Linked DNA regions of Pelodiscus sinensis. Each later gene encodes a partner of the first gene's protein in a complex. Links are inferred from orthologs where the notes say so. Each region holds a gene or a part of one and is shown in the gene's direction. Other genes may lie near its edges. The genes, in order: GRB14 and INSR.

The links.
Region 2: the proteins of GRB14 (region 1) and INSR are in contact, whole or in part, in a crystal structure (PDB 2AUH), measured with the Homo sapiens proteins. The link is inferred for Pelodiscus sinensis from reciprocal best matches to the Homo sapiens genes GRB14 and INSR. Residues at the interface, in NP_004481.2 of Homo sapiens: Glu373, Asn374, Ser375, Leu376, Val377, Ala378, Met379, Asp380, Phe381, Ser382, Ser386, Val388, Ile389, Glu394, Val398, Ala399, Glu401, Glu402, Gly403, Leu404, Trp406, Arg407; in NP_000199.2 of Homo sapiens: Leu1065, Arg1066, Ile1069, Glu1070, Lys1112, Arg1116, Arg1163, Met1180, Arg1182, Tyr1190, Lys1192, Gly1193, Gly1194, Lys1195, Gly1196, Leu1197, Leu1198, Pro1199, Val1200, Trp1202, Ser1207, Leu1208, Lys1209, Asp1210, Gly1211, Gln1235, Asn1242, Glu1243, Leu1246.

Annotation. Positions count from the first base shown.
Region 1 is NC_134717.1:36,399,470-36,403,375, reverse strand, and holds the start of GRB14 (growth factor receptor-bound protein 14), read left to right. Parts: upstream 1-1,157; 5' UTR 1,158-1,356; coding exon 1,357-1,493; intron 1,494-3,809; exon of another isoform or gene 3,810-3,811; coding exon 3,812-3,906. UniProt on the Homo sapiens protein: Adapter protein which modulates coupling of cell surface receptor kinases with specific signaling pathways. Binds to, and suppresses signals from, the activated insulin receptor (INSR). Potent inhibitor of insulin-stimulated MAPK3 phosphorylation.
Region 2 is NC_134729.1:20,789,476-20,793,381, reverse strand, and holds the start of INSR (insulin receptor), read left to right. Parts: upstream 1-1,335; 5' UTR 1,336-1,393; coding exon 1,394-1,469; intron 1,470-1,808; exon of another isoform or gene 1,809-2,012; intron 2,013-3,906. UniProt on the Homo sapiens protein: Receptor tyrosine kinase which mediates the pleiotropic actions of insulin.

The DNA of each region.
Region 1 (3,906 bases):
GTATTGGGAAGTTTTTATTTAATATGCTTATTATTAATGGTCCAAACCTACAGATAATTGATGGGAAAGTATTTGAAAGGGGTTCCTCACCTGTCCGGGGCCTGCTCTGACCATTGGGCTTACGTAGTCATACTCACAGTGTTTTTGGCCTGATGCATAATAAATTATTTGTATAAAGTAGATTGGCTTCACTAAGAGTGAGTGAGAGAGAAACCCACATCAGAATGAGGGTAGTTCAGTGTTTTAGTGCTCTCCTGAAAGAAAGGAACCTTCTGTTCACGTTTCTTTGCATCACCAAGCAAGAGGAGGAACTCAATCAGAATTTCTCACATTCTGGGTTAATATCCAAACCACTGGGATAACAGTTACTAGGAGTTATGTTTTCCTGCCCACCCTGGGGAAGTTCTGGGTGGAGTTCCAAAATAAAGCTAGGACAAGGCCCATCTTCCTGCAGTTTGAAGATCCTCTGTGGGAAAAGCATGACAGAGGTAGCTGGTTGCCTGCCTGAAGTAGCCCTATGCAGCTTCAGGTGCAGAAATTTAGGTAGTTTGGGAACTTGTACAACTGAAATTTCATCACTTAGAGATGTTAGGCACCTATTTAGCTGAGTGGAGGCTTTTTTGGATCACAGTAGTGCCTCTGTAGGGGCTGTAGGCACGTGAGTCTGGGCAATGTGGGTTAGTGCCCATGGAGGATTTTGCTAGGGGCTGTACATACACAAACCCTGCCTCAAGAAGTTACAAACTAAAAGGACAAGGCAAAGGGGGGGGGGGGGGGGGAGGAGAGAGGATCTTCTCTTTCTCTCTCGAGCAGAGACTGGGGTCAGGGAGAGATGAAGTACCCGAGGTCACACAGCAAGTAGGTGGCAGAGGTAACTGAACCACTAGGAGCATCCCTGGCTCCCCAAGCCACCACTGCAGCGGGTCAGGGAGCCAGCGACTCGCACAGGAGCCGCATGGAGCAGGTGCGGAGCGAGCGCCACAGCGGGTTAATTCCCCCTCGTCTCCCTTTCCCAGAACCTAGCGAGTGAGCCCGAGCGGCGCGAGCCTGGCCCCAGGCAGCCCGCGGCTGTGCTAGCGCAGCACCGGCAGGGGGGCTCGCTCCCGGCGTGGGGGCGGTGAGCGCAGGGAGCGCCCCCGCCCCCGCCCAGGTAGGGTTCAGCGCTAAGGGGCCGCAGGGGGCAGCCCGGCCTCCCGCCGCACGTGTGAGGGGTGCAGGGGCGGCAGCCCGGGCGGAGCTCACCCCCCTCCCCCGCGCAGCAGTCCCCTCCCTACAAGTGGGCCCGCCGGCTCTCCCGCTGCTGCCAGAGCTCGCGGAGGGGCTGAGCCAGAGGATGGTACCTTAGGAGCCGCCGCCATGGCCGCCCCGCTGCCGGATACGCCGAGGACCGCAGAGACCCCGGCTCCCTCCCGGGAGAGCAGCGAGGACTTGGCTCCTTCCCCTTGGCTCGCCCCTCTCAGCCCTCGGGCGGGGCCCCGGCTCGGGCCAGACAGGTGAGGCGGGGGCAGCGGTTCCTCTGCCCCGTGTGGCTACAGGTGGCTCCGAGGCCCCCCTCGCAGCCTAGAACCGCGCCTCGGGCTCCTGAGCGAAAGGAGGCTCCGTATTGGGGTGCGGGGCTGTTGGGTTCACAAGGCAACGAGACGGTTCGGCTCCTAAACCTTGCGGGGGGGGGGGGGGGTCCTGTTCACACCTGCTCAAAACCAAGCGGAGGACGCCGTTGCATAGGGCTGATGCCTGAGCAATAGCGGGGTTGGAGAGAGACCTGGGCGCACAACGGCGGGCGGCTACCGCTAGAGGTTCGCCAGCCAAGGCAGAAAGATGTGAAGGGTCCCGTAGCGGAAGCATTTTTTCCCCCACTTAAATCCTTCCTTCTCAATTGGCTCTGAACAGTCACTGTTAACTCCCGCTCCTGCAAACACTTATGTATGGGCTCACCTTTCCCGTGGCGTTATTTACAGTAGCTCGGGCACAAGTCTTTGCAGGATAGAGTCTTTTATCGTTTCTATGGCAATTATTTTAGGTCTTCACTGATCTGTTATTCCTCAAGAGCTTTTAGACCTTGGGGTTGTTGTTTTTTAAAATAGATTATCAGCCAAAAAATAGTTTTTTGCACAAGTCATCAATTTGCAATGACACTTTGGGGCCATAATTAATATTGCTGCGAGGAGTCCTGTGGCACCTTCTAGACTAACCGAAGTGCTAGAGCATAAGCTTTCGTTGGCAAAGACCCACTTCGTCAGATGCATCTGACAAAGTGGGTTTTTGCCCACGAAAGCTTATGCTCCAGCACTTCGGTTAGTCTAGAAGGTGCCACAGGACTCCTCGCCCCTTTTGCAGATTCAGACTAACAGGGCTACCCCTCTGATAATTAATAGTGCTGTTTATAGTTTCAGCATTTGATCTACCAAGGCTATATCAGCAACATTATACACCACAAAATTTTTTAAAGTGAAATGAAATGCATGATAAGAGAAATCCATTTCCCAGAAACATCTACTACTAAAATTTCTTCTGGAAGAGTTGCAATAATTTTAAGTGTACCAAGTGCACATTTGTACCAAGTGCTTTTAGCAGCTGTTAGTTTCCTTTTAAAAGATGAGTTTGTTTCAACTTGAATTAAAAGAAATGTAGCTGTTAGGTTTTTATGCAGTATCTGTCAGTTGTCTACATTAACTTCTCCCACACTTAAAAGTATTGTGAGCAGAATCTTTTCCACTCCTGCTAAACTATTGTCCTTTTAAACTTCTTTAAATACTTCAAGAAGCCTTAAAAGTAATTTCATGATATTGAAGTCTAAACATTTTTATCATACTAATTAACAAGTGACACACAGAATAACATTAATGCAGGTAATAAAGAGGTTAAATATTGACCCCAATCTTCAGCTTACACCAATAGAGGAAAAATAGATGATTGCAAATCAAATCAAGGTTTACAGCACTTTGATTTCTGTTGCTTAGAAGAATAGGTACTAATTTATATTTTACATGTCAGAACATTATGTACCATAGTGTGCACAGCATTTCAAAAGTTTAGGTGTTGCTGTTTTCCATTTCTATAATCATTCTGAATCTTAATCTGCTCAAACAACCACAGGCTTTGGCTGGTGGTATTTGAAACAAAAACAAACGTAGATTTTAAAAGCAAGACATTTTATGTCTCATAGCTAATTAAGGAATCATACAAGAAAGAAGACAGAGGCAGTTAGAGGAAGAAAGGGACATTTTCCTATGTGAAATGCCAAGCTATTAATTACCTTTGGACCTGATTCTGCAAAAACTCATGCAGGTGCTTAGTTTTATCATGAGTAAGTTCATATCAAATGGATAGAGCTACTCGTTATAGTAAAATTATGTGCATGTGTAAGAATCAGGTGCATATTCCTGAAGCTATTTGCTAATACCTGAAGTATGGACACACGTAGGTCCAGATGCTGTAAATTACTAATGTAAGTCTTAATTTTACAACCATGGTAATCACTGGGATTTAATTTAATCTTTCTCAAGAATTGAAATCAGAATGCGGTGTTCACATTCCCAGGAAAAGGGGAGGGTTGGGAAATAACTAAATTGACAATGCTTCTGGTGATGTAACTAGTTAGCCACTGGAGGAGATGGGTGTAAAGAAATCTTGCATATGCAAAATTAATCATATGCATTTTAATCAGTACAGTTGTCTAATAAAATGTGCTAGTAACATGACCAATAATTAATGTGGCAACCCCCTAATATTAATGTCATTATGTATACTGTGAACATAATGCTTTAATTCAGCAGTTTATTTGATTTTCTTATGTATTTTGTTGATGTAGGATCAAAAAGAAAGAGCTTGGTATGTTGGAAACGCCATCAATTCCAAACCCTTTTCCTGAGCTATGTTGCTCTCCGCTTTCATCAGTTTTGTCAG
Region 2 (3,906 bases), on another chromosome or scaffold:
GGGGGCTAGGAGCAGGCTGGCCCCCTGGAGCTGGGGAAAAAGCGGGATGTGGGGCAGGCTGGCTCCCTGTGGGGTTAGGAGCGGGGTGGGCTGACCCCCTAGAGCTGGGGGAGAAGCGAGATGCGGGGCAGACTGATCCCTGGGGGGCAGGAGCGGGCAGGCTAGCCCCTTGTGGGGTTTGGGGCAGGGCAGGCTGGCCTCGGGGGCTGGGGGAGAAGCGGGGTGCAGGGCAGGCTGGTCCTGTAGGGGGCTAGGGGCAGGGCAGGCTGGCTCCCTGTAGCTGGGGGAGAAGCGAGATGCGGGGCAGGCTGATCCCCGGGGGAGGGGAGGGGCGGCTGCGGGGCAGGCTCGTCCCCTCGGGCTGGGGGGGAAGCAGGGTGCGGGGCAGCTGCCGGGCAGGCGGATCCCCTGGGGGGTGGGATAGGCGGGCCCCCTGGGGCTGAGGGGAAGCGGGGTGCGGGGCAGCTGCGGGGCAGGTGGGCCCCCTGGGGTTGGGGAGAAGCGGGCTGCAGGGCAGGTTGCTCCCCAGGGGGTAGGGGCGGGTGGTGGGCAGACGGGCCCCCTCGGGCTGGGGGAGGTGCGGGGTGCGGGGCAGGCTGATCCCGGGGGGGGGGGGGGTGGGACAGGCTGACCCCCTGGAGCTGGGGGAGAAGTGGGGCTCGGGGCAGGCTGATCCCCAGGGCAGGTAGGGGCGGGTGAGGGGCAGGCGGGCCTCCTGGGGTTGGAGAGAAGCGGGGGGCGGGGCCGGCGGGCCCCCTGGGGCAGGGGGAGAAGCGGGGGGCGGGGCCGGCGGGCCCCCTGGGGCAGGGGGAGAAGCAGGCTGTGGGGCAGGTTGCTCCCGGGGGGGGTAGGGGCGGGTGGGGGCCGGCGGGCCCCCTGGAGCAGGGGGGGAAGCGGGGGGCGGGGCCCCTGGAGCGGGGGGGAAGCGGGGGGCGGGGCCGGCGGGCCCCCAGGGGCAGGGGGGGAAGCGGGGGGCGGGGCCGGCGGGCCCCCAGGGGCAGGGGGGAGAAGCGGGGGGCGGGGCCGGCGGGCCCCCAGGGGCAGGGGGGGAAGCGGGGGGGCGGGGGGCGGGGCCGGTCGCTCCCCGGGAGGAAGAGCCCGCAGCGGGGCGCGCGCTCTCGGTTGGCCGGGGCCGTGAGGGGGGAGGCCCCGCCGCTCCAGTCCCGGGGGCCCGGCAGGTGGCTCGCCCCTCCCCGGGGCCCCTCCCCCGGCCGCGTCCCGTCCCCAGCCCGGCTCCGCGCCGCCTCTTGCCGCCGCCCGCTCCCAGCTGACGGGGGCAGCCCCTTGTTTACCGGCCAGGCAGGCAGCCGCGAGCCCGGCCCGCGCCGCCAGCGGCCCGACGAAGCGGCGGGAGAGGCGGGCGCGGGGCCCGGCGGCCTCCGAGCGGCGGAGCATGGCGCTGAGGGCGGCGCTGGCGCTGGCGGTGGCCGCGCTGCTGGGGGCCTGCTGCGGCCCGAGCCGCGGGGAGAGTAAGTAGCGCGGGCGCGGCCTAGTCCCCGGGGCAGGTGCCCCCGCCACGCAGCCGGCGCTGAGGGGAGCCGCGCTCGCCCGCCCCCCGCCGCGCGGGCTGAGGGAGCGTCTCCCCCGCGCGGAGGTGACTGTGCCCCCTGCAGCCCGAGCGGGGCGACAGGGCGGGAGGGTCGCCCTGACACCGCCCTTTGTACCTGAGCGGGGGGGGGGCAGTTCCAGGACTCCCCCCCCCCCCCCGAGCACTTTCTTGCTTTTCATCCCCCCCCCCAACCAAATGCCTTTCTTCAGGGTGGGTTTGGGTGGGAGCTATAATGAGGGGCGGGAGTTGCCTTAAATGAACAGAAAGTGGCGTCTATGGAAGGACTGACTGATTGATTGATTTGTGTATTAATTTATGAATTAAAAAAGGGGAGTCAAGGTGCGCGTGGGAAGCTCTCCGAAATGCAGCCAGCGTGCAACGTACCTGCGTGTGACTGAAAAGAGGTCTAGCAACAGCTACAAAGATAACGGGGGGTGTTTATTGGAACAGACACATGGACTAGGTCAGGAGGAAACTCCTTTATTCCTGCTTTGCTTGGCATAGGCTAGTTGGCATTAAATGTGCCCATCTGCATTTTTTTGTTAAATCTCTAAGGTGCTGCAGAACGATTGGTTGTTTTTTAAGGTGTGTGTGTGTTTTTTTTTCTAGTGCAGACTAGCACGGCTACCCCGAGACATTTGTTTTTGGTTTTTGTTACTTTGGGTTCGGGATAAATGAAAAATCTTTCGTTTTATGAAGTTGCTGGTAACTTTACCTTAGTGGCCATGAATATTTACTTCTCACAAGTATTTTGAAATGGGGCCTCTAAGTTGACTTGTGAATCAGGGTCTAAAACTGTTTCTCTTAAATGTGGCATTTGGCATGTGCAGGGGGTATAATTGTATCATGTGTGCCTATATATAAAATAGAGGGTTGAGAACTTAGCCCATGCTTTTCTGTTGGAATTTACCCTACAAGTAATGTCTTTGTAAGTCTATTTTTGTTTTAAACATGAAAAAGCATGCCACTCTAGCCTTTTCCTCGCTATATTACAGAATTCTAACTCTTTTTTTAAAAGTTAATTTCAACACCAGATATAGTTTCTGAAAGCTCTTAGCATGGTGTGGGCTTAGAATGGCAAGGATTTTAAATTAACCACAAAATGGTTCTTAAACAGGTTACAGGTATTAAAAGCAAGGGTGTGGAGAGAAGTTACATTAATGGAGGGATTGGGGAGATTCCTAAATGAAGCTCACAACTATCTTAACGAGTGTCAGACCATTGTTTATGGCTGATTTTAGGTGGATAAGCTTGCTTAAATAAATGACTTAAGCTAGCATTTACTGTCTGAATCTAGCTTGTTTTTGTTTTTATAGAAAATGAAAGAACCTGCTGGTAAATATTTGCTTAAAGAGAATTAAGTACTGAAATTGTTCATTTAATAACCTTCATTGTACTTGGCATGTTTCCCACAGAAGCAATAGCAGTAGGGTGGTTCAGAGTCCAGATATTGCATTGATTGGTACGTCACATACATACAATAATAAAGGTTTCAAAGCAAGAAACACTCCTGACTTTTGGAAAAACAATCTATTTGGCTGGTCACGTAATCAAAAATACCTTCCTCTCTTCTCTCGCACGCTCTTTTAAAAAATTATTCATGTATTCACTTTAAAATTTGAGAAGTACTACTGTGTTTTTCAACTAAGAGTTGAGAGATGGCAGGCAGCCCAAACTGTGGTGTGGGGAAATACATGAAGATTTCATTCTCCAGTGCACAACGCTTTAATTTTAGTACCGATATAACTTTAATTCAGTGACCTCAAAGTTCTTTACAAATTGTTACTGGTACAAACAAACTGCTGATCTTGTGGCTTTCTGTAGCACCATTTGTTCTTGGATTGTTTATGTGTTTATGAATGTAATGAATTAATCCTCACAACATCCTTATGAAATAGGGAAGTATTATTTCTGTTTTACGGATAGAGAAATGGGATCAATGTCCACCGAGTCAGACTATAGCAGAGCCCAGAATGGAACAGGGGGATATTACTTAATTTTATTACGTATATAGTGCCAGTACCGTCCTAGGTATGTTAAGGATAGGGATGTAAAATCCTGTTTAATCAGTTAACTGGACAGGTGAGGGGGTTGCTTCAGCTGGGCTGGAGCATGCCCACCTGAGTCTTGTTGCTTAGCCAAGCCTCCTGGCTGTGTCAGGTGTGGGGCTGCCCTGCTGGTTAATTGTAATGTGTAAGCATCACTTGGTTAACCATTCATAACCCTAGTTAAGGATATGTAGGAAAGTCCGTGGTCCAAAGAATTTTCAATGTTGTCTTAATGCCCATGTCACTCCTCTAAACACTAGCGCACACTCTTATATTTGCAGAGCATTAGAGTATGTATTGAAAATAACA